Linked DNA regions of Ovis aries. The protein of the gene in region 7 binds, or shares a complex with, the protein of the main gene of each other region. Links are inferred from orthologs where the notes say so. Each region holds a gene or a part of one and is shown on either strand. Other genes may lie near its edges. The genes, in order: SMARCD2, ARID2, DPF3, ARID1B, DPF1, SMARCD3 and SMARCA4.

Evidence for each region.
Region 1: SMARCA4 (region 7) and SMARCD2 share a complex: the UniProt entries of both Homo sapiens proteins name them as parts of the BAF complex. The link is inferred for Ovis aries from reciprocal best matches to the Homo sapiens genes SMARCA4 and SMARCD2.
Region 2: SMARCA4 (region 7) and ARID2 share a complex: the UniProt entries of both Homo sapiens proteins name them as parts of the SWI/SNF-B (PBAF) chromatin remodeling complex. The link is inferred for Ovis aries from reciprocal best matches to the Homo sapiens genes SMARCA4 and ARID2.
Region 3: SMARCA4 (region 7) and DPF3 share a complex: the UniProt entries of both Homo sapiens proteins name them as parts of the BAF complex. The link is inferred for Ovis aries from reciprocal best matches to the Homo sapiens genes SMARCA4 and DPF3.
Region 4: SMARCA4 (region 7) and ARID1B share a complex: the UniProt entries of both Homo sapiens proteins name them as parts of the neuron-specific chromatin remodeling complex. The link is inferred for Ovis aries from reciprocal best matches to the Homo sapiens genes SMARCA4 and ARID1B.
Region 5: SMARCA4 (region 7) and DPF1 share a complex: the UniProt entries of both Homo sapiens proteins name them as parts of the neuron-specific chromatin remodeling complex. The link is inferred for Ovis aries from reciprocal best matches to the Homo sapiens genes SMARCA4 and DPF1.
Region 6: SMARCA4 (region 7) and SMARCD3 share a complex: the UniProt entries of both Homo sapiens proteins name them as parts of the BAF complex. The link is inferred for Ovis aries from reciprocal best matches to the Homo sapiens genes SMARCA4 and SMARCD3.

What each region holds. Positions count from the first base shown.
Region 1 is NC_056064.1:47,807,701-47,811,073, reverse strand, and holds the end of SMARCD2 (SWI/SNF-related matrix-associated actin-dependent regulator of chromatin subfamily D member 2), read left to right. Parts: intron 1-175; coding exon 176-271; intron 272-410; coding exon 411-512; intron 513-659; coding exon 660-821; intron 822-951; coding exon 952-1,049; intron 1,050-1,208; coding exon 1,209-1,344; intron 1,345-1,504; coding exon 1,505-1,627; intron 1,628-1,745; coding exon 1,746-1,847; intron 1,848-1,938; coding exon 1,939-1,992; 3' UTR 1,993-2,873; downstream 2,874-3,373. Other genes in the region: PSMC5 (26S proteasome regulatory subunit 8), read right to left, coding at 2,981-3,034, 3,133-3,219, 3,309-3,373. UniProt on the Homo sapiens protein: Involved in transcriptional activation and repression of select genes by chromatin remodeling (alteration of DNA-nucleosome topology).
Region 2 is NC_056056.1:140,791,306-140,795,262, reverse strand, and holds the start of ARID2 (AT-rich interactive domain-containing protein 2), read left to right. Parts: upstream 1-1,157; 5' UTR 1,158-1,684; coding exon 1,685-1,776; intron 1,777-1,890; coding exon 1,891-1,984; intron 1,985-3,051; coding exon 3,052-3,149; intron 3,150-3,957. UniProt on the Homo sapiens protein: Involved in transcriptional activation and repression of select genes by chromatin remodeling (alteration of DNA-nucleosome topology). Required for the stability of the SWI/SNF chromatin remodeling complex SWI/SNF-B (PBAF).
Region 3 is NC_056060.1:82,481,867-82,486,022, reverse strand, and holds the start of DPF3 (zinc finger protein DPF3), read left to right. Parts: upstream 1-1,356; 5' UTR 1,357-4,156. UniProt on the Homo sapiens protein: Belongs to the neuron-specific chromatin remodeling complex (nBAF complex).
Region 4 is NC_056061.1:81,557,612-81,561,111, reverse strand, and holds part of ARID1B (AT-rich interactive domain-containing protein 1B), read right to left. Parts: intron 2,788-3,500; coding exon 2,578-2,787; intron 1-2,577. UniProt on the Homo sapiens protein: Involved in transcriptional activation and repression of select genes by chromatin remodeling (alteration of DNA-nucleosome topology).
Region 5 is NC_056067.1:47,409,509-47,413,008, reverse strand, and holds part of DPF1 (zinc finger protein neuro-d4), read left to right. Parts: intron 1-243; coding exon 244-404; intron 405-479; coding exon 480-587; intron 588-1,986; coding exon 1,987-2,114; intron 2,115-2,385; coding exon 2,386-2,475; intron 2,476-2,867; coding exon 2,868-2,946; intron 2,947-3,129; coding exon 3,130-3,261; intron 3,262-3,500. UniProt on the Homo sapiens protein: May have an important role in developing neurons by participating in regulation of cell survival, possibly as a neurospecific transcription factor. Belongs to the neuron-specific chromatin remodeling complex (nBAF complex).
Region 6 is NC_056057.1:115,438,143-115,442,089, reverse strand, and holds the start of SMARCD3 (SWI/SNF-related matrix-associated actin-dependent regulator of chromatin subfamily D member 3), read left to right. Parts: upstream 1-1,147; 5' UTR 1,148-1,277; coding exon 1,278-1,355; intron 1,356-3,947. UniProt on the Homo sapiens protein: Involved in transcriptional activation and repression of select genes by chromatin remodeling (alteration of DNA-nucleosome topology).
Region 7 is NC_056058.1:13,343,839-13,347,358, forward strand, and holds the end of SMARCA4 (transcription activator BRG1), read left to right. Parts: intron 1-551; coding exon 552-684; intron 685-779; coding exon 780-922; intron 923-2,501; coding exon 2,502-2,534; 3' UTR 2,535-3,020; downstream 3,021-3,520. UniProt on the Homo sapiens protein: ATPase involved in transcriptional activation and repression of select genes by chromatin remodeling (alteration of DNA-nucleosome topology).

The DNA.
Region 1 (3,373 bases), on a different chromosome or scaffold from region 7:
CTAGGGACCCTTTCTGTGCCTCAGGTCTCACTTTTCCCTGCTTCTTTCAGGGCCTGAGAATCCTCAGTACCCTGAGCTTTAGGACTGAAACAATATTCCTCTGTTCGGGGCTTAGTATGTGGCTTAGGCTTGAACCTTCAATGGCACCCCTGTCTCACCCCCTTTACATCCCCAGCCTAGTAAACAGAAGCGGAAGTTTTCTTCCTTCTTTAAGAGCCTCGTCATCGAGCTGGACAAGGAACTGTATGGGCCAGACAACCACCTGGTAGAGGTGAGAGCGGGCCTGGGGCTTGGGACCACAGGGTGCCGTGCCCGGCGGGCAGAGGAATGGCCTCAGTCCCCTTGCAGGGCCAGGTGCGTATGTTGCCCGCCCCTTTGGTGATGAGCTTGACTCCCCTTCCTCCTGCCAGTGGCACCGGATGCCCACCACCCAGGAGACAGACGGCTTCCAGGTGAAACGGCCTGGAGACCTGAACGTCAAGTGCACCCTCCTGCTCATGCTGGATCATCAGGTGACGAGTGCCCTGAGGCCACGTCTGGGCTCACGGGGACTGTCATCTGGGGCGGGGGCAGGTGCCCATTGGAAACCCTTCCTGTCCCTGCCCTAGCCTGCTTTGGGTTTTTTTTTCCCTCCTCTGACTCCCGTCTGTCCATGCCAGCCCCCACAGTACAAGCTGGACCCCCGCCTGGCGAGGCTGCTGGGGGTGCACACGCAGACGAGGGCTGCCATCATGCAGGCCCTGTGGCTCTACATCAAACACAACCAGCTGCAGGACGGCCACGAGCGCGAGTACATCAACTGCAACCGCTACTTCCGCCAGGTAAGCGGGCACACCGCCCCCTCCCCTTCCAGCCCCCGCCCGCCTTGCCTGTGGCGCCACACCGCCCCGGGACGGGCCACTTCCCCATGTGCCCACCAGGGCGTCACCGACCCTCTGGCGCCCTCCCCAGATCTTCAGCTGTGGCCGACTACGTTTCTCTGAGATTCCCATGAAGCTGGCAGGGTTGCTGCAGCATCCAGACCCGATTGTCATCAACCACGTCATCAGGTAAACGGGAAGGGGGAGGAACGCTGCTCTCAGGGGTTTGCCTTTGACTTCAATTAAAGCCAAAGCAAAGCAGCACGTTTGGTTTCTTGCTCCCTGGGTGTGTGTGGTCTTGCCCCGGGCGGGCGGGAGGGAAGTAGCTCTCTCCCGTGTGCCGTGTAGCGTGGACCCTAACGACCAGAAGAAGACAGCCTGTTACGACATTGACGTGGAGGTGGATGACCCGCTCAAGGCCCAGATGAGCAATTTTCTGGCCTCTACCACCAATCAGCAGGAGATCGCCTCCCTTGATGTCAAGGTGGGCCCCAACCTCCTCTGGGCCCCCAGTGAGCATGGGCAGGTGTCGGGCATTTCCATTTATATAGCACCTTGGGATGGGACCTGAGTCCTTTCGGGTTGGGGCTGGAAGCAGACCTTGTCGGGGTGGGAGCCAGTCTGACACGTACCCCTTTGCCCAGATCCACGAGACTATTGAGTCCATCAACCAGCTGAAGACCCAGAGGGATTTCATGCTCAGTTTTAGCACTGACCCCCAGGACTTCATCCAGGAGTGGCTCCGTTCCCAGCGCCGGGACCTCAAGGTGTGCCCCTTTTTCCTGAGGGTGATCCCACGTTAAGCTCTGGGGGTTCTGTCCCCAGCACCGTTCTTCTGGCTCAGGGGTGGGAATTGCGTTCAGCTCTGCTCCTGGTGCTCTACAGATCATCACTGATGTGACTGGGAACCCGGAGGAGGAGAGACGAGCAGCTTTCTACCACCAGCCCTGGGCCCAGGAAGCAGTAGGGAGGCACATCTTTGCCAAGGTGAGGCGGCTCTGCCCTGGCTGGCCTGGAGGGCATACCGGAGGGCAGGGTGGGCAGCCGGGCCTGAGCCGCTGGTCTGTCCCTGCTCCAGGTGCAGCAGCGAAGGCAGGAACTGGAACAGGTGCTGGGAATCCGCCTGACCTAACTGCTCAGGGACCCCTTCCTTTCTTCCCAGCCTGGAGCCACGCCCTCAGCCTGGAAGGGGACCACCCTCTGGGGCGCAGACACGTAGGATAACGAGGGGGTGAGGGGCATCTCCAGTTACCCTCGGCTCCCCGGCTTTAGTTTCTTAAGTGTAGTGATAGGATTCCTTGTTGCTTGGTCCTCCAAAGCCTTCTTACTTACACATTGGCTTTAACTGGGTTCACGAGAGGCCTCCTGTGCCCCCTGCAGGCAGGCCTGAGAAGGACCTGGAGGCTCTGCTTTGACATTTTAACCGAGACCTTTTGGAACCAGAGGCCCCTGGCTTTGCTTGTTTACAGACCCCCTTGGGGCGAGTGTCCACGCTGGCTCCAGGGAGCGGGGTGAGGAAGAGGAGCATGGCTCCCTTTCTTCCTAGCCTTTCCAAACCAAAGTTCTTTGCCATTCCTACCAGCCCAGCCTTGCTGCTGGTAATTTCCTTTCCTTCGGGTTATTTGCACTATTTGTGGAGCAGGATTTTCTATGCGGGAGCCACTTTTTTTATGGGGGTGTGTTGGGGGTTTTCAGGGAGCCCTACTTGGGGGGTCCCTTATTTTCTTTTCTCAATCTATGCAAGCGGCTCTGGCCGCCATCATCTCCTGCGATGCCAGAGGGCTGTCACCCCAGTTCTTGGGCCCAGGGTAACGCCTCCTAGGGAGAGGGCACCCTAATTCTCTGGCGTGGCCTGAGGCGTGGGTGTGTGTGTGCTCGGTGGAGGGCAGTGGGAGATGGGGAGGACTATTGTTGCTCTTTGGAGCCTGTTAAGGAGGGTGGGCCGAGGGCTTGGCAAACGCCACTTCTGGCAGGTTTGGAAATTTCCAAATAAATCTTTGTTTATTGGTGGTACCTAGACCTGGTGATTGAACAGTGCAGCTGCTGATTAACAGACTCGAGTCCTCAAGGTCCTGACCGGTAGAGCTTTATTTGAGGGATCCACACAAAGGACGTCTGCCTCACTTCCATAGTTTCTTGATGGACATGTTTTTCTCACTGTCCTTTTGCATGACCTGGAGAGAGAACATTTGAGTTAGAGACCCAGTGAACACGTGCCCGACCCCACTGCTCGAGTCACCACCAGCAAAGGCAGAAAGGCGTGGCCCTGTACCTTAGCTACTGCCATCTCGAAGTCCTCCTGCGTGACGTGCACTCGGCGCTCCCGCAGTGCATACATGCCAGCCTCGGTGCACACGCCCTGAGCAGGGAAAGAAGGGGGAGATGCCGCTGTGCCCTGAACCCAGTGCTTCCTGCCTCTGCCCCCTTTCCCTTGGGCACTCCTGTTACCTTCACTTCAGCCCCTGACGCTCCCGGCATGAGCTCAGCAATTTTTCTCAGGTTGATCCCCCGGG
Region 2 (3,957 bases), on a different chromosome or scaffold from region 7:
ACGGCTGACCCCAACACCCCTTGTAGATATAAACTTGTGGTAGTATTTGTTGAGATGTTACGTCTCCCATTTGAACAGCCTCTTATTTTGAGCTTCAAAAATATTTTAAACCGGGATCGTATTAAGACATTTGAGAAAAAGCAAAAACATAAGATTTTATTCAATATGTTTTAAGCAAACTATAACAGACCTTAATATAAAAATATAAACGTTAATTATTATCGCCCAAGTTCAAAAGATTGCTTCCCAATCAGTTTAATTACTGTTTGCATAACTGCACAGAATAATCTAGTTTGAGAAATGAAACCAACAAAAGTCAAGATGAATTAAGAGCATGATTCCATTTCCACAGAACTAGGACAGACAGTTCACATTGTATTTAATTTACAGTTTGCTAAAGTTAGTTTGTGGGTAAGTCATGGAAAATGTGCTAACCAGGCCCCCCCTTACTATCGCCACAAAGCTCAGAAAAGCCGATTCTTTTAGACCTTATAAAAAAAAAGGTGACAGGTTGACTTTATTCCTATCAGTGAATGAAGCTAGCGTGAGGAGCTTCCCCTCTGGGCTTCCTTTCCCTCCCGAGCTCTACACCAGTTCTGTCGGACAGGCGGGGACTCCAAGGCAGCCCTTCCAACTGCCGGGCCGGGGACGCGAACATCGCCTCCACCCCTAACCCTGGAACAACCGGTAGTGGCCGTTTCCCCGCGCCTCCCCCCTTTCCGCCGGCTTTGTGTGCGTGTGAAATGTGCGGCACATTGCAGATGAACCCTAAGCCCGGCGAGCCGAGTCTATTGTTCCCCGCGAGGAGCTGCCGGGGCGGTGTGGAGTCAGGCGCAGTGCCGCGGCCGGCCCTCGGGGGTCGCTGTGCGGCTCTGGCTGCCCGGCCGTGGCGGCGACGCTGGAGGCGGCAGAGAGGGAGGCTGGCGGGGAGGGAAGCGGGCGGGCGGCGCGCAGCGGCTCGGCTGCCGCCGGTGCCTTCTGCCCGGGGACGCCCCGGCCGCGAGGCCGCGCGTGAATGTGTGCGAGGGCCCCGCGGAGCTGCGGCCGGAATACACGCTGTCACCCCGCTTTCCACAAACCACCACACAGACCTCCCCCTCCCCACCCCCAGCCCCGCCTGCCCCAGCCCCGCCGCCGCCGCCGCCGCCGCGGCCGCCGAAACTCCCGGGCCTCCGGCCACCCCGGCCCCTCACCGTCGGCTCGCCTTTCCCCTCGCCCGCTCGCGCGCCCCCGGCAGCAGCACCATGTTGAATCGCGTCCCCGGGCCGAGCCGCCTGAGCCGGCGGCGCTGAGAGGCGGGCGAGAGCCGGGCCGCGGGAGGGAGGGAAGGAAGGGGTGGGGGCCGCGCTCGCCCCGCGGCTTCGCGCGGATCCGGCAGTCGCCTGCCCCTCTAGTTTCGCTCCGATTTCTTTAAACTTTTTTAGAAATTCCCCTCCCTCCTTCCCTCCTCTCCCCCTGGCCTCCTGCTCCCTCCTTCCCCTCCTCCTCCTCCTCCTCCCCCTCCCTCCCTCCCTCCCTGCGCCGCCGCCGCCGCCGCCGCCGCCGCCGCCACCGCCGGCCCATGACTGAGCCCCGCCGCCGCCGGCCGAGGAATGGGCTCTGGGCTCTGGTAGGAAGCGCTGGGAGCGGGGGGCGCTTTTAAAACACCGATCTGGGTTTTTTTAAAACCTCCTTTGAAAAAATAATGGCAAACTCGACGGGGAAGGCGCCTCCGGACGAGCGGAGAAAGGGACTCGCTTTCCTGGACGAGCTGCGGCAGTTCCACCACAGCAGAGGGTGAGAGCAGAACCGGGGGGGCAGCGCCGGGGCGAGCCGGGGCGAACGGGGCTCTCCCGCTCGGGCCGCCGCGGGGTCCCGGCTGACAAGTGCGGGGCTTTCTCTCTCCCGCAGGTCGCCTTTTAAAAAAATCCCTGCGGTGGGTGGGAAGGAGCTGGATCTTCACGGTCTCTACACCAGAGTCACTACTTTAGGCGGATTCGCGAAGGTGAGTGGAAGTTTTAATTTGTATTTCCCTCTCGCTGGCCTCCTCCAAAAAGTCTCCTTTGACCCCGGAGTGGGCGCTCGGGGCCGGGGGGGTGGCCTGCGGGGGCCAGAGGCGTTCTTTTCGCTCCCAGCCGGTGGCACGGAGGCGGACGGCGGCGGGGCTGTTTTTGGCCTGGTGGCTCGCGTGCGCGCGGCGGGCGCGGGGCTCGGCGGGCGGGCGGCCCGGCGCCGGCTCGCGCCCTGCCCGGTGCCCGGCCGGCCCGGCGGGGTCTGAGCGCCGCGGCGGGGAGTGCGGGCGTGCGGGGCGCCCGCCCGAGCCCCGCGCCCGCCCCGCGCCCGCCCGCCCGCTCGCTCGCGAGTCAGCTCTGCCGCCGCTGCCGCTCTAGCACAGGCGGAGACACAGAGACACACAGACTCTGAGAGCAGTTTTCGTGCAACTCAAAATTAGCGCGGGCAGGTTTAACATCGATAATCGGCTGCGAAATGATCCCGGCAGCCGGGGGCACAGCCTCGGCCCCGTCGCCCTCGGTTTATACAGCTAACAAAAGAAACCAGGACCTGTCTCCAAATAGCCATCTTAGGCTTCAAGGCTAGGCAGAAGCTGTAGGCCTCAAAGAAGGGCCTATGGAGATGGATAGATCTGGGAGAGGGATCGGAATCGGCCCCGGCCCGGGCCCCCCCAGAACCTGCGGACGTCGCTGTCCGGAACAGTATTGATCCTTTTGAACTTTTTTTTTTTTAGTGTAAACGGACCGCGTTGAGATTTAAAAGGGGGCGACAGAGGGACTTGCGATTGGTTATTGTCCGGGCTTCAAAAACAAAACAAACCCACCAACATCCCCCCTTCCGCCCCCCAAAACAAAACAAGTGCTATTAAATACAGGGCTCTCGGGTGAAAACACAGTGATTCAAGCAGCCCTTGCTTAGCTACTCTTACGGATCGAGCCGAATCACCCACCGATTCCTGAGGGATCTGCAGATCTCTGTAGAATGGGTATTTATTCAGAGTTAGGTTTGAGTTTTCTTGGATTGTGCACTTTCAGACAAGTGTGGCTGTGTTTTTAACAGGTTTCTGAGAAGAATCAGTGGGGAGAAATTGTGGAAGAGTTCAACTTTCCCAGAAGTTGTTCTAACGCTGCCTTTGCTTTAAAACAGTATTACTTGCGGTGAGTAGTAGTGACTCTAACAACAGTGTTGGGAAATAAGGGATTTATGGGGAGATTTGCTTTAGCAAAAAGAAAAAAGAAAAGCCCCAAGCAAGAAACAAACCTTGCACATCAGTTTCTAAACTTCTGCTAATTTCAGTCTGAGAAACATTAAATATCCACAAGGGAGGTTCTAAGAAGGTGAAAGTTTTCCTCACCTATTTTAGGATTGTTTACATTTTTCATACAGAATCATTACAGGTGACACCCCATCCCCCATCTTGATAAACATTCTTTTGTGACATTGTTATTGATTGTTTGATATCCACAGAGGGGCAGAAAGGTGATGCTGAGTAAAAGAATCAAGATAGTTAATGAAACTTTGTATCCCTTGGGAAATTTTTTCTTTGTTTTGGAAACTCCTTTGCCTTTTTAAATTCTGACTTGAAGATATTGTTAAAAAATGAAACCTCTATGTGGAACCGTGTTACTGAGTAGTTTTTCAGAATATTTATGCATAGCATAGTGTGTTGGTGCCTTAAGTGTCCAGGATTGTTTTTTTTTTTTTTAAGAAATTCTTATGTTTTTAGAAATTTTTGACTGACTGAAAAACATTTAAAAGGATTATTATCTATTTAGGAAAATTAGGGATGCTACAAAATGGAATACTATAATTGGGATTTTCTTTCATTCTCCCCCTTTTTTGACTATTTGACAGAGTACATTTCTTATTTAGTTGGCATGCGCTATAGTTTAGATAATATATTTTGTGATTCAGCATTACTTTTTCTGAGTTTTTCTCCTAGGAATACTTTCATATTGTAATTAT
Region 3 (4,156 bases), on a different chromosome or scaffold from region 7:
AGAGGGGACACATTCCTGGTTCTAATCTGCTTCTGGCTCTTTCTGTTGGGGTGGGGGATTTGGGTAGGTACTAAATGGGGAAAACTGGGGTTGGGATTTGTGAGCTTTCAGCTTTTTATGGACATTATTTTAGCCCCTTATGAAAAAGGACCCTCAGACATTTTAAGCCAACAGATGCCTAAGAACCACCTTCTCCATCTGCTTCTGGTTGCCACTGGGGTGAGGGCGGGGGGAAGCCTTAAATTCTCTAAACTTCATTAGCACACATTATTTTTCAGTGGGAAGCATGTCTGGTTTTGATGAGATACCCATAAAGGTTATTAATTTCTGCCAGAACCCAAATGGAGGCATCGCCACAGAGAACTGCTGCGGTTGCAGACCACCTGGGAGACATTCAGAGGTCTCCAGTTGAATGGGAGTTGCTTAGTTCTAGAAAGTGGCCTGGAATTCAGAGGCAACTTAATTGGAGACTTCTCATCCTCCTTTGTCTTTTTGGAACCATGCAGGTGGCTGAAATTTAGGTACATCTGAGAAACACCATAATGTCTAAAGCTGTTCCAGAGCCATCTGCTCAGATCAGTGCAGAAAATAAAATGCCATGGTCAACCAAGCTTTGTTTTGAGCTTGCACCAGAAAAGGAAAAGAAACTGAGGCTAATGTTTCAGTTTTGAAAGTACAGCCATCCTGATTGTAGTGGTGCTGGGTGTGGGTCATGAAAAGCATCAGAATTCAGGCCTGTCTATTATCCCAACCTCTGCAAAGTAACTTTTGTGGTTTCTGAGTGTTCTGAAAGTCACTAGAAGACAAATGTAGCCCAATGTGGCAAGCCCCTGAAATGCCACAACCACTGAAACAGTTTTTGCCCAGCCATGGTTTTCCAGCAGGGGCCTATGTAAGCATGACCCTAGCATTAAATAATCTTTAAACATGTAGGTATTTAACAAGGAAAGATAAAGAAGTGGCCTGGGGAGAGGGGATACGGAGGGGATAGGTAAGTGGATAAAACTACTGTGTGGTCTGGAACTCTGAGAAGATGATTGTTTAACAGCAAGAGAGACTGATGTTATGATCTATTGCAAGTTCCAAAGTTTTCTTTAGTTGTGTGAGCAACTGGGGAGAGATGAGGTGTTGTGGTGTTTTTGTAATCTGTTTTTCTTATTGGTCCGGTTACTAGTGTTTCACAGTCTGTCAACCCATATGGATGAATGGAGCTAGCATCATAAAACTGTCACTGAAGGAAGGTTTTTGAAGCCTGTGATTTGCATCAGAGTTTTAAAAGCAGTGGCTAGGAGGTGTTTGGGTCAGGGGAGGGGAGAAGAGGAGCAACCTATGCTGGAAATGTCTAGGTTGTGTGTTTGTGAATAGTAGTAGTAGGTGGGGGGTTACAAGGAAAGCAGGCTAAGATTTAGGGGGCTGTGTTTGAAAGCAGGGAGGGGCAGGAGCTCCTAATAATAGGGTTCAAATAGCCCACGTTGAGACCTTCACCTCCAGGACTTAGTTCTGAGTCCAAGGAACAATGATGATACGTGTCTAATCCCCCTTTGCACCCTCTCCTCCCTCCTCGAGTCCAGAGCTTGCTGTCATCTTAGGTTGCTATGAAATGAGTGAGTTTTTCTCATTGTTGAATATTCACTTCAAAAATCTGCTGTGGTATTAACTTCAACTGGAAGCTCCACCAGAAAAGGTTTTTCAGTTCTCAAACTTTCACCAGTCATCCCTATGTCCTTATGTCAAACTCCATCCCTCTTATACTTTCTCACCAGTGACTATGCTTTTGTAGCTTCAGAAGTAAAAGCTTCAGGGAGAGGATCCCGGAGATTTGAGCTCAGTTTTCAGCCCTACTGCTCACCAGCTATGAGACCTTAGACCCAGAACTTCTCTGAGCCACATATTCCTTGTCTTAAAGGTGAGGGTGATGCACCTTGATTGCCAAATTCCTTTCCAGTAAAAAACTGGGGCCTCTTGACTATGGTGGATTAGGAAGGATGAGGAGGACAGTTAGGGACCAGTGTTTGAATTCCTCCTCATTTTTTAAGTGTGGCTCTAAAAGGGAGTTAAGACTGGTAGGCTCTCCTGTAGTTTCATCTTCTCTGGTTCCTGTCTTGCCACCTTCTGTTGCCACTGGGCTCTGATCTCTCTCTTCTCAGCGCCCAAGGCTGAGGGCCAGGTGGTGGCCCACTGAGAACGTGGTCTTTTCTTCTGATGCTCCCTTTTGAACACTTTTCTCCTCATTAACACTCCAACCAGGGGATGAAGACGGGAAAGAGAAATGAGAAGATTAATTGGCCTATTTTTTTCTGTTTACAAGCACTCAGATTATGTTTTTGGTTGTGCAAAAGACTAGAATTATTGAGAACATCTCTCTTTTTCTTCCTGTTTTGTGTAAATGTATGGTGGAAGAAAGGGAACCGAGCAAAAGATTTTCTTCTCTGGATTTCATTTATCTACAGTCTCCTTCAATCTACTGTTCTTCTAACATGGCACCCATCCCAGTTAACATGGAAATAAATGCTTACTTCATTTCCATTTGGGCAGTTGCAAATGCCCTACCATTCAGTGAACTGCAGTGGGTGGGCCTGTACTGATGTCTCAGTGAGCTTCCTCTGTTGCACCCCGTGATGCTGCTGAGGAAATGGAGGTGTTCAGTAGACACAGAGTCTGGCCTTACGCAGGTGAGTATTAGCAGTGTCTAAAGTGGAATTCACTGCCTCTCATTCAGTGATATGCCTCCAGAACATGCCAGATTCCTCTGGAGGCATTATTATCAGGCTTTCCTTTGGTTGACAGCTAGCTCCCTTGGCAATTTTCTACATGTCTAAAGGAGGAAGAGGGGGTTGTTAAAACCATCAGAACATTCACAGAAGCCTGAATTGTGAGAATTAGGCAAAATGAAAGAAAAAACAAAATGGTCTCCTTGACCTCCAGCCTACAGAGGCAGTCCCTTAAATTTTTTTGTACTTGTGGTAAGATGTATCAATACATAACATGTATATTTAGCATGTATGACATGTAGACATACCATTTTAGCCTTTTTTAAAGTGTTCAGTTCACTGGCATTAAGTACATTCATAGTGTTGTATAACTACCAGAATATTCTGTATTCATTTCCAGAATTTAAAAAGTCATCCTAAACACACTCTATATCCATTAAACAATAACATCCTCTGTTTTAATGAGGACATCCTCCTCCCACCCCATCCCAGTGTGGTAACCACCATTGTACTTTCTGTCTGTATGAATTTGCCTGTTCTAAGCACCTCATATGAGTGGAATCATACAATATCTGTCCTTTCGTGACTGGCTTATTGCACTTAGTATAGTGTTCTTAATGCTCATCTGTGTTACAGCATGTGTCAGGACTTCCTTCCTTTTTATGGCTGAGTAATAGTCCACTGTATATATATGCCTTATTTTGCTTATCCATGCATCCAGGGATGGGTCCTGGGGTTGTTTCCACCTTGTGGCGATTGTGAATAGTACTGCTATGAACATGGGTGTGTAAGTAGCTGTTTGAATCCCTGCTCTCAGTTCTTTGGGGTATATGCCTAGACCCCCCCTTCATTTTTAGACTCACTAAGATTCATGGAGTACATTTCTAGATAGTATAGGCAACTCCTTTCTTCTAAACTTAAAAAAAATACTCATGGCATCATAGAATTCAACCTCTTTACCTGCCTCCCACTTTAGGACTACCACTATTTTGGGGGTGGAGGATAAATGCCCCAGGAACTCAGAGACTCACTTCTTTTATCCCCAGCCAGAGGATTGCCTTCATCTTGTCACCACCCCCCCACCCCCAACCCGTTGAGGGCAGGGACTCCCTTGGGGTCAGGGTCTGGATATGGGGAGGCCCCAGAGGCTGCAGCACTAGTTGTCACCTGGTGGGGCTGGAGCGAAGGTTTCCCAGGCAGTGGAGGTCTCATCAGGCAGCAGGTGTTCCTGCTGGAAACACCTGGGATGACAGGACAGCTTGAAGGTCAGGAGGTAGTAAATCTGACCTATCTTTTCATAAGGGGAGAAGGGCATGCATCTCATTTGGCCTCCCTTCCCTGCGCTAAGCCCTGCTTACCACCCCCTGAAGGGCCCAAATGAAACAATGGATGTGAAAACACTTCAGAAAGTGTAAAGTACAAATGGGAGGTGTTACTAGAGCTGC
Region 4 (3,500 bases), on a different chromosome or scaffold from region 7:
CCCGGAGCCGGCGATTTATCTCTGAGCAAAGGTGCTCTTGCTCACCCCCATCTCACTCTTATTTTTTTTATAAAAGGGTGTCTAAAAACTAATTTAAAAAGCAATAACAGAATTATTTTGCAATTTAAGTATCTGAGCCTTAATAAGAAAAACAATGTCTCCTTCCAACAGCCACAAGCTTCCAGAAAGATGAGCCTCATAATTTCTGTTCATGCCCAGTCTTTCACGTGAGGCTTTCTTGTAGTGTTGGGTGAAGGAGGCCCCAACCAAATGAGCCCAACCTAACAGTCCAGCAGAAGTCATCAACCCTGTCTGAGCTGTGGAGCCACCAGCTAGCTGACATGGCAGCACCAGTGGGCTTCGGAAGGGGCACATAGGACCATCCAGTGTTCCCACTTGCACTCAGGCTGGAGGGAATACAACTGCAAAAAGAGAAGAAAGGAAGGGAATCCTCAAATGTTATATAAAATTTGAGCAATTGGTTTAACTTTCTGATTCCCAATGGGAACAGGTCACACGAGGCTGACACACGAAGGAAACATGAAGGCCTGCAAATGCTTGGGGAATATTTTGCCTTTAGATGTGTCCTGTATTAAGTAGCATGAGTTAAAGGGACAGTGAGTTTGAATGAAATGTTCAATTTTTGGATTCAAACTTCCTCACAAAGCTCTTTATGTCCATTTACTTAGTATTAAATGGTGCGTGAGAAACCAGAGAATACTCTCGAGAATGCTTAGTGCCATTTTTGGTACTGAATGCCAGGCTGCAACGGGCAGGCCTGTGACTGCTTCTGAAATCACAGGCAGAGTGCTGCCTGGGACACCCTGAAAAGCAAGGCTTTTAGCTGATCCCTCTGGGGCTGCAGCACCTGTTTGAACCACATCTGATGGGGTGTGAGTGACAATGCGGCCAAGGCCTCACCGCTGGGAATCACTACTACATTCAAGCAACTTCATCAGCTAAGACCCAACCTGGGAGTCCACTTGGCTGAGTGAGGTGTCCTGATGGTTCCTTGCTTCTGTGAGCTGGGTGAAACCCTTCGCTGGCCATCACCCACACCTGGTCACACCTGGTCTGCATCCTGTGACCCCATCTGATTACGCCTTCTGGAGTCAAGCTCTAATTGCTTTACTTGGAGGCCTCAGTCTCGGGTAGGAGGAGGCTCCTCAGGGAGGGCTGAGAACAAAAGCCTCTCCTGCAAGCCCTGCAGCCCAGATACCAGGGTGGGTCCTCAGTGATACCTGTGCATCAGCTGACCTACCTTTGGATAGTGAGGCCTGGAACACCTGAGGCCCGGAGCAGCTCCTTTCACTAGTCTGGGAAGGAGCCCAGGAACTGACAGGTTTTAAATGCTCCCAGGTGCTGCTAATGAACAGCTAGGTCGGAGAACCAAGGGCAGATAAAGGGCATGCGCTTCGCAATCAAACAAACTTGGCCCCACCACCTACCCTGAGAGTCCCTGGGCCACAACATTCTTGTACAGTCGGCCTTCCCTGTTCCCTGGTTCTGTATTTCTGAATTCAACGAATTGTGAATTGAAAGTACTGAAAAAGAAAAAAAAAGCCCCCCCCCCCACCTCGCCCAAAAGAAAGTTCCAAAAAGCAAAACTTGAACTTGTACCAGCAACTGTTTACATAGCATTACACTGTATTGGGTATTATAAGTAACTGAGAGATGATCTGAAGTATATGGGAGGTGGTGTGTAGGTTCCAGAAATAAAGAGGCTCGAGCTCACAGGGTTTCAGTATTTGTGGGGATCCTGGAACCAGTGCTCTGTGGACCCCAGGGGACGACTGTACTTCAATCTGTTACATCTCTTCTTCAGGGCTGATGACTCTGCATTCCATGGGTGTTGAGAGAGAAGTGACAAGAAAAAGGATGGTGCCCAGGATGCGGCAGGCACTCACCCTTGAAGGCCCTTTTCTCCATGCTACTTCGGGATATGGACACACAAACCCTTCCCAGGGCTAAAAACAGGGCTGTGACAGGGAAAGGAGAATGCGGCCCCTAGGGTACAGAATGAAGGGGCAAGTGCAGGAGAGGCATCTGCACTACCCCATAGGAGTGCCTCCGGGCACTCTGCACCTGGGTGCCCCCAGCTGTGGGAAAGGACAGCATTGCCCCTCCTGTCATCCAGGTACAGCGGACATGGTTGTAGAAGGATGACAGTTTTCTTGTTAACTTGCTCTGGATAGAGGGAAACAGTGAATTTGATTTATATCTGATCCAGACAATTTAGTCATTTGCAAAACATTTCTGTTTACTATGAAATTCTAACACAGATTCCACAGAATTCTAGAGCTGTTAGGGACCCTAAAGCAAAACCTAGCTCAAATGTCTCATTTTACCGTTGAGGATTGAGTCCACATAAATGACCTACTGAAGTCACTCTGCGAATGGGTGGCAGATCGAGGTCCCTGACCCCAGGGCAGCCCCCGCCCCCGACCTGCCACACGTGAACATGGATCCAGTGAAGTGACCTTCCCAGAGGCTCAGCTTTTTCTTTGTGAGAAAAAAAAATTCAAGTTTGCATATTCAAAGCTCATCCATAGCATCTCCTCATTCATCTTTTCTCACCTGTGCCAAACCTCCGATCTCTTTGACGCAGACATAGAGTCGGAACAGGTCCAAGGGCTTCTTGCCCACCGCAGGCAGACTTGAGACCGGGGAGCCCCTCTCCTCCATGAAGGTGAGGTAGCGGTCCACCCACAGCTTCCTCTCTGGCTCATTCCCCAGCTCATACACCTTTGTGATCTTTTCCCCAGTGGTGGTGGATGAGCTGGACTTCTAGAGCCCAGGGTAGCATTTGGAGATGGGGCATAAGTGGGCCAAGGGAAATGGAAGAAGGCGAGAAAAAAAGTAATGAGCTACCAAATACAAGAAGAGAAGAAATTTTAAAACTACTGCTATCACACAACAATCAGGAATGAAGGCTACTAGTTCAGGCACAAAGTATACATTTGCTTAATTAAAAATTTACTTTAACTAAAGGGCCCAAACTCCCCCTTTTATATACTTGAAAAACAAAAACAGAATAAAAATCTTTTTTACTTTATCAATATAAGCGTTGAATCCCAGAAGGCAAGACTCCAATGACCTCTCATGTCATTTTTTCTTTTTTTTTCAAAAAGGGTACAAGTTCATTGAATGGCTACACTGAGTTTAAAGTTCCAACTGTAATATTATAGAGCCCCCCTCCTCATTACATAGATGCCTACATTTCCTTGTCAAAATATAAATGACCAATGTATGGCTTTATTAAAACTAAATCATATGGAGGTAGAGCACATACATGATGTGTGTTGAAAAATACAAGGTTGGTCACACGTCATTGGACCCAGCGGTGTGTGCACTTTACATTTGAGAGCCTTCTAAATTAATGGCCAGTTACTAGCATTCTCTCAGAATGATCCGCTTTCTTGACTTAAGATTTCTTGAACTTTTCTGCCAAGGTAATTTTAATAGATTTCTTAAGCAAACATGTGTTCATCACAAACACA
Region 5 (3,500 bases), on a different chromosome or scaffold from region 7:
ATATGTGCCTGAATGGATGTGTCCTGGTGTATCTTTATCTGTTCCTATATTGTATCCACTCCTTGGCTCGAGGCCCGCTTGAGTCCCGGGTTGGGGGCTCCTGGGTCCCGACCGGAGGGGAGAGGTGAGGTTGGAGGAATCGGCCCACCCATTCCCGACGGGTGGGCTGGGGGAGGGGTGCTGGGCGACCGGGTGCTCCTGCCCTTGCTGACAGCCGCCCGCCCGCTTACCCGCCCCTCGCAGCCTAGGCGAGGACTTCTACCGCGAGGCCATCGAGCACTGCCGCAGCTACAACGCGCGCCTGTGCGCCGAGCGCAGCCTGCGCCTGCCCTTCCTCGACTCGCAGACCGGCGTGGCCCAGAACAACTGCTACATCTGGATGGAGAAGACCCACCGCGGCCCGGGTACCGGCCGGGAGGGCGGGGGTGGGGCGGGGTGGCGGCTTCCCAGCCGCGTTCTTACCGCCCTTCTTACTCCAGGTTTGGCCCCCGGACAGATCTATACGTACCCGGCCCGCTGTTGGAGAAAGAAACGGAGGCTCAACATCCTGGAAGACCCCAGACTCCGGCCCTGCGAGTACAAGATCGGTAGGTGGGGCTCCGTCCTGTGCCTGGGGTGGCCCCGGTGGGTGCCCACACCACTGGCTGATCAGCGTGTTGATGCCCTTGTGCCTCTGAGCATCTGCCTTTATCACCCTCCCGGCCCACGTCTGAGTGACGGGCTGTGTATGCTGGTGTGTGTCTGGGGGTAGTACAGACACTCTCCAGTTTTCCCCGAGTATTTTGAACTGCGTCTTCTACTTGGACCCAGGGGTATTCCTGGGCAGAGCGTGGTATCTGTTTTGCGTGTCCAGGTGTATCCCATCCTTGTATATCTCTTCCCTTGTGAGTTGGGATGTATCAGAGTATCTGCCTGTTCTTTCCTGTGGATGTCTGAGTGTGTGTCTGGGTGTGTCAGAGTGTCTGGTTGTAACTTTTTCCATTTGTAGTACAGCGTGTCTTGGTGTCTGTGTCTCTTTTCAGGTGTTTCCAGGCTTATTTCCTCTTAAGTGTGTCTGGTCTATCTGTTCCTGAGTGTCTCTCTTCCTTTGAGTACCAGATGCTCTGGAATGTCTGGGAGAGTCTCGTCCCTGAGTGTCTGTTTGGAGTGTCAGGTGTGTTTCTGCCCGTGTCTGCTGCGCCATGAGTGCCTGGCTTTATCACGTCTCAAATGTGTCCAGCACTGATAGAGTCACTGGCTGTTTCTCTTCCCTTGCTCAGGTATAACCAAGGATCTGTGTAGGTCCAGGCAGGTGTACTGGCGTGTCCATCTGGCTCTGTCTTCCTGGGTGTGTCTGATTGTCCCAGAGGGACTGTCTGTATCACCTGTGTGTATGAGTATCCATCTGAGTGATTCTCTGGTGTCTCTCCCCTAAGTATGTTCAGGTGTTTGGTAGGGTTTGGTTGTGTTTTCCCCATGTGGTCTGGGTTTATCTGATGGTCTAATGTTCTCTTTTGGAGTGTCTCTGAGTGTGCCCAAGGGTTTGGCTATGTCTCCTCCGTGAGTCTGGGTGTATCTGAGTGTCTGGGTGTACCTCTTCCCTTGTGTTTCTGGCTGTCTCAGATGATCTGTCTGTATCTCCCTTGTGTATGTCCATGTATGTCCTGTTTGAATGTCTCTTCTCTCCAGTTGTGGGGGTCTGGGTGGGGTCTCCTACTTGTATTATGTAGTTATATAGGAGGGTCCAGCCATGTTTCTCCTGAGTATGTCCAATGGTCTCTGATGGTCTGACTGTGTCTTCTCCAGGGTCTGGGCATCCTTAGGATGTGTGGAAGTAATGAGGGTGGTATGGATGGTTGAGTATTTGAGTCTGTTGCTGGTTGAGTGTGGGAAAGCCTCTTTCCTCCAGAAAAGAGCATGATTCCCCAACCTGGGCAGTCTGAGGAGTCCTCCAGGGACAAGTTCTTCACCTGACCCCCCTTCTACCTACCGTGGTCTTGTCCCCAGACTGTGAAGCGCCACTGAAGAAGGAGGGTGGCCTCCCCGAGGGGCCAGTCCTTGAGGCTCTCCTGTGTGCCGAGACAGGGGAGAAGAAGATAGAGCTGAAGGAGGAGGAGACCATTATGGACTGTCAGGTAGGACTGCCCAGCCCCCCACCCATCCAGGGGCTGTGGCTGCCCTCTCAACCGGCCTGTGTCCTGGCCCATCTTGCTCCTGCTCTGAAATCTCCCCTGATTCCCTAGGACCTTTGAGCATCCTGTCTCCATCCCTCCACACTTCATCTCTTTTTGGGAAGACCTCCTAACTTGCCCTGCCACCCCTGATCTTTGCTGTGTCCAGAACTACCTCCCAAAGCAGAACAATACCCCGTTTCTTGACCCCAGTCTCCCTTCTCCTGGTGCCCAGAAACAGCAACTGTTGGAGTTTCCGCATGATCTTGAAGTGGAAGACCCAGAGGATGACATGCCCAGGAGGAAGAACAGGGCCAAAGGAAAGGTATTACTCCCAAACCTCCCCCCATCACCCTTCCCCTCAAGGCAGGTTCCATTGATTGCTTATGCAGTGTTCAGACCCTGCCCCAATTTTACCTTATTTAACTCTCAGAGCAGCTTGAAGGGGTAGGGGATTTTTATACCCATTTTATAGATGAGGAAATTGAGACTTGGGCATATTAAGCCATTTGCAAAACAGAGATTGTACAGGGGGTTAGAGCTATCTTCCTACACGTGGCACAGATGAGAAAATGGAACCTCTGAGAGGTCAAGAGAGTTACTCTAGACTCACAGCTAGGAAGTGGCAGAGCTGTGATTGGGCTTTCAAGTCCAAATGGTGAAAATTCTTTTAGTTCCTTCCCTTTCTTGGCCCCTCACTCCTGACTTTCCCCTCAGGCATACGGCATCGGGGGGCTCCGGAAACGCCAGGACACCGCTTCCCTGGAGGACCGAGACAAGCCGTATGTCTGTGATAGTGAGTCCTTCTGAAGAGGGGGGAAGAGAGAGAGAGAGAGTGGGACCCAGAGACCTTGCCCCCCACTGGCCCCCTTCCCTCCCGTTCTGGACCCTGGCAGAGGGGGGGAGGTGTGATCCTGGAGGCCAGGGTGGAGGCGGCAGGGGCTGGAGGGCTGACCGGCCCTCCCTGCTCACTCTCCAGTCTGTGGGAAACGGTATAAGAATCGGCCAGGGCTCAGCTACCACTACACCCACACCCACCTGGCTGAGGAGGAGGGGGAGGAGAACGCCGAACGCCACGCCCTGCCCTTCCACCGGAAAAACAACCATAAACGTGAGCAGGCGGGCAGGGCGTGGGGTGGTGAGGGGCCCTGGGAGTGGGGGCTAAGGAGCCTGGGAGGGAGGGGGCACATTAGGCATTTCTGGAAAATCTCCAGCTCAGCGGTCCCCTCCCCCCACCAACCATGGGGATGCTGGCTCTGGGGTTGCCATGGCAACCAACCATCTCTCCCTCTCTCCCGGCCGGGCGTAATATTTCTGGGTCTGATTTATTGTTTCAATTAGAGCTTGGGG
Region 6 (3,947 bases), on a different chromosome or scaffold from region 7:
CCCTACCCCTGCTTACTTTGGGGTCCAGAGATTGGCCCTACCATACCCAGCGCCCCAGCTCCTGCGGGTCCCCCGCCCCCACCCCCAGCCCATTCCAAAGCCGTCAGGTCGCGCTGGCCTCCGCCTCGCCACCCATCCGTCCACCCCAGTTCCTTGCCTGCCCCCACGCTTCCCTTCCCGTTCTCACGAGCCTGGCCCACCTCCCTCTCTCCGAAATTTCCCCTACTGCCTCGACTTTGTCACAGAGAGACAAAGACTCACATAGCCCGAAATAGACACCCCGAGCGGGGAGACACAGACCGTGTCCAGCCACACACGCACCCGCGCCCGCCCGCGCGCGCGCGCGTACCGGAGGCTGCGGTGGAGGGAGGCACACAGAGGAGGCATTTATCTGTGCACGCACGTAAACATCCACACCCACGGCCGCCGGCCGTGCCCACACCAGGGTGCAGACACACTCAGCGGTGAGACAAGGGCGCACACATCTATGGACTGCAGGGCACACCGCCTCCGGGGCACACCCACCACGGCCGCCCGGTGCCGGAGAAAGGCCTCCTCCGGGCTCGACTCCCGCCCCCCGCCACCACCACCCCCTCCACCCACCCCGGATTCCTTCCCAGCGAAATGTTTCCCTACTTGGCCTGCCAGGTCTCTGGGGAAAAGGGCCTCAGAAATGCGGCAGGAGCCACTTGGGGGCAAAGTTGGAACGGCCTGTTCCCGGCCTGTTCCCTGCCGGCGAATTCCCTAAGCGAAAAACTATTTGCGGCGAGAGAGGCCGGGTGGCCGGCGAGCCCCCCGGCCGCCTCCCCTCGCGTCCCCTCCCCGCGCCGCCGCCGCTGCCGCCGCCTCCCCGCGGCCCTCGGGCGGCCTCGGGCAGGCGGCGCCGCTGCCCAGCGGCCCGGAGCCGCGCTGGCCGGCGAGCCTCGCCGCTTATCTGCGCTGTTTGGGCCCGGCGAAGCTTGGGAAAGGCAGGCTTCTCCGTCCCCGCCGAGTCAACAGGCGGACCCCGGGCCGCCGGACTATTTCTGTCTTATCAGTGCAGGAATGCGGCAGCCGCGGCGGCTGGCGGGCGGCGGCGGCGGCGGCGGCGTGGGCCGTGGGCCGTCAGGGCAGCCCTGAAGGGGCCCCCTCCCCACTCCGCTCGAGTAGAAGTGTGAGAGAGCCCAGCAGGACTCAGAGGGGAGAGTTGGAGGAAAAAAAAAAAAAAAAGGCAGAAAAGGGAAAGAAAGAGCAAGAGAGAGAGAGAGAGAGTGAGAGGCGCCGCTGAGCCCACCCCGATGGCCGCGGACGAAGTTGCCGGAGGGGCGCGCAAAGCCACGAAAAGCAAACTTTTTGAGTTTCTGGTCCATGGGGTGGTGAGTGGGGGAAAAGTTAGCGGGGGAGGGCGAGCGAGCTGGCTCGGGCTGAATGGAGGGAAGGTCGGGAGGGGCCGGGAGGGGGCTCCCGCTCCCCCCACACCCCACCCCACGCCTCTAGCGGGAGCGCCGCGGCCCAGCGGGCCCGGCCCCAGCCCCGTGCCGGCGCGCCCTGGGGGCGCCCGAACACGTCGTCAGGCGGCTTGGCCGGGGATGGGTGCCCCGGGGCGGGGAAGGCAGGCGTTTGCATGGGTTCCTGTCAGGGGCTTGGGGGTAGAACTTGGGGACGGTCTCCCCCAAAGTGGGTGGGTGGGTCCCCTGTGGGGACAACCCGATGGGTTGTCTTCCCTTCTTTCCCTGGTGGAGCCCAGGTGCGACCCCTGCCCTGGGAGTGGGGGGTGGGGGGACTTGGCATCGCTGCGCTGGGCTGCTTGTTCATCAGCTGGGACAGTGTCTCGGGAGCAAGGAGCAGGTGACCCTGGCGGCGCTGTGAGTGGGAAGCTCTGGGGCTGAACCACCTTTGCATCCTGGGCTGAGGGCTCCGGGGCTCTGCCCCTGGCCTCTGCCAATCAGGGCCAGAGAGAGGCCCTCTCTAGGGGCAGACCCCAGGTTAAGGGGTCTGAGGATCCTTTGGCAGCCTCCACCACCAGAAGCTGATGTCCTTAACACCTCAAAGGTGTGAAGGAAGAGCTGGAGTCAGGGACGGGAGGCCTGGAGACCAGAGGGGCAGGTTTAGAAGGCCCACTGGGAGCCTGAGTGAGCCCAGGGAGCCTGAGGGGGTGGGGACGGGTTGGAAGGGCTGTGGCATAGGAGAGGCAGAGGCTCCAGGACTTGGGACGGCCACTGGTGCTGAAGCCGGGCAGAAAGGAAGCAGTCGGGTTTACTATGGCCAAATTTGGTTGTGACCCCAAGGAAGACACGTTCTCAGTAAGAGAGGCCAGAGCCCCTAAAATGTTGGCCCTTTGGGCAGGTCACCCATCCCCGCTGGCCAGCACAGCCTTCTAGGGGCTCTGGAGGCCTCCCTCTTGGGGCCTCCTTAGCAGATCAGTGAGTACCACCAGCCTCATTAAATGGGAGAGCAGCTGATGAGGAAAGGGGCTTTCCCAAAGCAGCCTGTTCTCCAGGCCCATGGGTCCCTAGGCTAACTTCCAAGGGGTCCCCATGTTGGTTAGCCTCATGACCAGCCCTGATCTTGCTGCCTGGGGTGTCCCAATAAAAGGCCCATCTAGGAGTGAGAGAGTGTATACATGTGGATTTTTTTTTAAGTCAACTCACTGCTTCAGTTCTTGGGTGGCCTGAGCCCCACTCCCAGCGCCCTGTCTGTGCTGGCAGGGAGTGGCGGGCCTGGGCTCCATTATGGGCCACCACCCTGGAGGTGTGAGTGACAGGGTCAGGTGGGGTGGGGGAGGCAGACACATGGACAGGCAGGTCTCACTGCTGAGGCTGTGACAGGCAGAGACAGCTGGTTGGCTGGGGGTTAGGGTTAGACACGGCGCGGGCAGGAGGGACCCGGGGGAGGGGGGCAGTGCGAGGAGATTCACTAGGCTCAGGGGCAGGGCGCTTCCCTGTTCTGGGAGCAGCTGCACCCCTGGGGTGGAGTGGGTGGTGCTCAGATAGTATAACAGGGGCACAGGGTCTGTGACCGTGGCTCCCTGATCTCCTTCCTGCTCTCCTGGCCCCCGTCCACATCCTGGCCACCCTCCGCTTGACAGCCCCTTGGGCCCTCCCCAGCCTCTCTTCTGGAATGGGACAAGTGAGGTTTTACGAGTCTGTGGAACACTTCACTCGATGCACTGGGTTGTCATCTGTATCCCAGTTGAGCACCCGGGTAGCAGCAAGGGCGCACACCTGCCTCACCTGCCTCCCCGTGCCCCCTGGGAACCCAGACTTCTGACCTCACTGGGGTAGGGTGGGGAGTAGTTGTAGTCTGTAGGATGGGGCCATCTCTGGTGATTCAGGCAGACAGGAAGGGAGAGATAGATATAAGAGAAAATGTCCATCCTTTTGACCTACCCAAGCCCTCTGGACCACCCATCACCAGTCAAGCCTCATAGCCCCCCTCCCCTCAATGGGAGAATCCTGGTGAGGTCTGACCTCAGCCCCTCAAGCTGCTTCTAGCCCTACCTCCAAGCCTTCACCTTGAGAGTAAATTATGCAGGTGGGCTAATTCAGCCAAGCCCCTGACGGTAGAGGCTGGGAATCAGAGCAAGGGGGCAGGGATTGGGACGGAGGGGCAAAAGCAGGGCCCCAGAGAGGAAAGTGGGTTGAAGGCAGGGAAGGCAGGGAAGGCAGGACCCCCTGGAAATGGACTGGGAAGCAGGCAAACGGGAAGGCAGACGGCAGAAGTCCGGAGCAAGAGAGCCAGCCCTGAACTAAACGAAAGCAGCAGAGAGGGCACAAACCCCGGGCCCCTCAGGAAAGGGCCTTGCATGACCTTGGCTAGGTTGCCTCTCTCCTTGAGCCGCGGTTGCCTCATCCGTCAAGTGGGGATAGAAGGCCCTCAGTCTGTCTTGCAGAGGAGCGTGTGGATAGGAGCATCCTTTGAAAAGGTTGAAAGGCGCCATTAATATTCATCTTCGCGGCACCTTCCGC
Region 7 (3,520 bases):
ATCTGTTACAGAGTCATTCAGGGGTGCTTTTCAAAGGACGTCCAGCTCTGTGCTGGGTCCTGTCCTGTGGTGAGATTCACACACACAGGCTCAGCATGGCAGTTTTCCTCATTGCTGGGATGAATGCCTCCTGGCAAAGAGAGTCGCACATGCCAGGGAATGCTAGCTTCAACGAGGCCGTGCGTCTCCGACGCTAAACTGCAGGCCCTCTCAGAGCCTTTAACTGGGTGCTCGCTGCGATTCTTCACGGGGAGGGAGGGGGACTTCCCTGGTGGTCCAGTGGCTAAGACTCTATGCTCCCAGTGCAGGGAACCCAGGTTCTATCCTTGGTCAGGAAACTAAATCCCACATGCCACAACTGAGAGTTTGCGCGCCACGACTATGACCCAGCGCAGCCAAATAAATAAATACTTTAAAAAAAAAAAAAAAGAGGAACGCCTGACCTTCTGTCCAGGACCGTTTCATTGAGCTGTCCCTTGTCTGGGACCAGGCGGGCGGGCAGGCAGCCCCTCATCGGGCCCCCGACCCGAGCCCCGTGTGTCTCCACCCAGATCTATGAAGACTCCATCGTCCTGCAGTCGGTCTTCACCAGCGTGCGGCAGAAAATTGAGAAGGAGGACGACAGTGAAGGGGAGGAGAGCGAGGAGGAGGAGGAGGGCGAGGAGGAAGGCTCTGAGTCAGAGTGTGAGTCCTGGGGGTGGGGGCAGGAGGTCACATCCACCCCAAGACACCCTGGGGCCCCGCGCTCACGTCTCCTTTCCTTGTGGTCCCCTCCCCAGCTCGCTCAGTCAAAGTGAAGATCAAGCTCGGCCGGAAGGAGAAGGCCCAGGATCGGCTCAAGGGGGGCCGGCGGCGGCCGAGCCGCGGGTCCAGGGCCAAGCCAGTGGTGAGCGACGACGACAGCGAGGAGGAGCAGGAAGAGGTGAGGTCCCTGCGCCCCAGGGCGGGCGGGTCACTGGGCGTCCATTCCTCTTGCCAGGTCCTAGACCTGTGGGATGTTTTCAGACCCCCAATGCACAGACAAGGCTCAGTGTTACAGAGCGTGGGACTCAAACCCAAGTCCATGCAGCCCTGGAACCAGTGCTCTTGGAGCCACTGGGCATCTGGGGTTCAGACAGGGCATCCCTCCTCCCCACCCGACCCACACAGTTCCTACTGCACAGCCCCAGGCCGACCGCAGGGGGCGGGAGGCAGGGAGCTGGAGATGCCCTCAGAGAGACGGTCCCCGCTCCCCCAGTGCTGTGGTATCCTCACCACCCTGTGCTCCCCAGGCCTCTACTTGTGGCTCCGTCCTGGCCTGTCTCAGCGGGTTTCCGGACCGTGGTAGTGGGTTGAAAAAGCAAACCGAAAGTGAAAGTCCCATAGACCACAGTCATATGAACGGGGCTGTGAGTGGTACCTCAGTGATGGTCCCCCAGGCACACCAGGGAGGAGCCACGAGAACCGCAGGAGCAGTGAGCCCGTACAGTCTCGTGGGCCTGGGGGTAGGAACAGACTCGCTTGCTGCATTTTAATAAGTTTTGCCCTCTGGCTCCCACCTGGACGCCTGGCCCTTCCCTGCTGCAGGACCTGGGCTGTTTGCTTGACCTCTGAGCCTGCCTCCACTTCCACAAAGCACGGAGGTCAAGTGCATTTCACGGGCCCCGGCTCCCAGCAGAAAGCTTGATAAGTACCATTTCATCATCGTTAGTCTTCTTGTAGAGCTATTTGCAGTAACAGCAAAACCAGGTGCCTCAGAATAATCCTGACTGCTGACGTCTGTGGTCTTATGGGGACATTAGTCACATTCTGAACATGGGGAGCGGTGGCCTTGTTTGTGGCCAGGAGAGTCTGGGCTGTACAGCTCCCTGTCTGCCCAGTCTGGGTCCAGCAGCACCTTCTGTGGCCCTTGCTAAGGTGTTGAAAATGTTTACACAGAGGAGCAGAGATTGTACGTGGTCAGGAATAGCCAAGGTGGTTTTAAAGCTCAGGTCAGGGGAATTCCCTGGTGATCCAGTGGTTAAGACTCAGCATTTTCACGGCTGAGGGCTTGGGTTTAATACCTGGTCAGGAAACAAATACCACAGACCTCGAGGCTCAGCCACAAAAACAAACAAAAATCCCCCTACAGGTCAGGGGCACAGACAGCAATGGGACAGAGCCGAGAAGGCCCAACCTGCTTCCCAGGAACCAAGAAGGAGTCGATGTGAGGGTGCAGGGACCAGTCCTTGGGAGAAAATGACATTTGGGTGTGACCTTAGCTGCAGGGACTGAGGGCAAAGGTCACCCCACCCCACCCCCAACCTCAGAGTGGACAAGGCAGTTCTGCCTGCACTGGTGATTAAGTATATTTAAAGCAAAGGTCGGGGACTTCCCTGGTGGTCTAGTGGTTAAAACTCTGCACTTCCACTGCAGAGGGGCACAGGTTCAATCCCTGCTCAGGGGACTAAGATCCCACATGCTGTCTGGGTGCTCCCAAGGGCCAGGCTGACTCTCACTCTCTCCTCCTGTCCCCCTCCCAGGACCGCTCAGGAAGTGGCAGCGAGGAAGACTGAGTCCCGACATTCCAGAGTCTCGACCCCGAGCCCCTCGTTCCAGAGCCGAGACGGTGTTAGCCCTTAGCAGTAACGGGTAGCAGCAGATGTAGTTTCAGACTTGGGATAAAAACTGTATAAACGAAAATCTTCCATATTTATACGGCAGAGAAGATGTAGGACTGTCTGTGTCTGGCCCTGTCCTGGCATCAATAGCGTTTGTAACAGCATTAACTGTTTAAAACGAGAAAAAAGGAGAAAAAAAACGAATTATGAATTGGGGAACACACGACACCTGTCTTTCTTCCCTCTCCCTGGCAGTACTGTTGCAGCCGCAGTTTGGAATCACTGTAGTTTAAAGCTGTGGATGCATGCGTGTAGCCGTCCACTCCTTGTACTGTATTTTATCGGACAGGTCAGACTCGCCGGGGCTGGGGTCTGCAGGCCCGGCGAGGGCATGTCAGTGTCACTGGATGTCAAGCAGTAATAAATTAAACCTCCAACAAACGTCTTGGCTTCTGCTGGGTGCATTCCCGGCCCCTGGCATGGGGTGAGTGTCTGCAGCCACCCGCCCGAGCGGTGCAAGGCCCTGGGGCCTTGGGTGGGGCCTCACTGTGTCTGCGGCCCTGTCCTCCTGGCGCCAGGTCCCAGGGGGCCCGTCTCCCAGGGGAGGACACTGAGGCCCAAGCAAAGGGAAGCCTTGCGCGGATGTCACACCATCTTGACTAGCAGCCTGGGCTCGCTCTGGGTCTCTTACCACCACCATTCCCCTCATTCGTTTAAGCCCACCATGTCATGCAGAGAGCACTGATCAGTCCCTGCCCCTTTGCCGCCATGGTGGGGTCAGGAAGACAGGTCAACAGGAGGTGCCTGTTAGCAGTCTAAGTCCTGACATGGGAAGCCAGGGCGTTGTGGGAACCAGGTGATAAGCGAGAGCTTCCAAGTCCAGAGCTTACTTTAGGTCCTCTTCTGTAGTTCTTGTGTCTCCCTTAAGATTTTATGTTCAT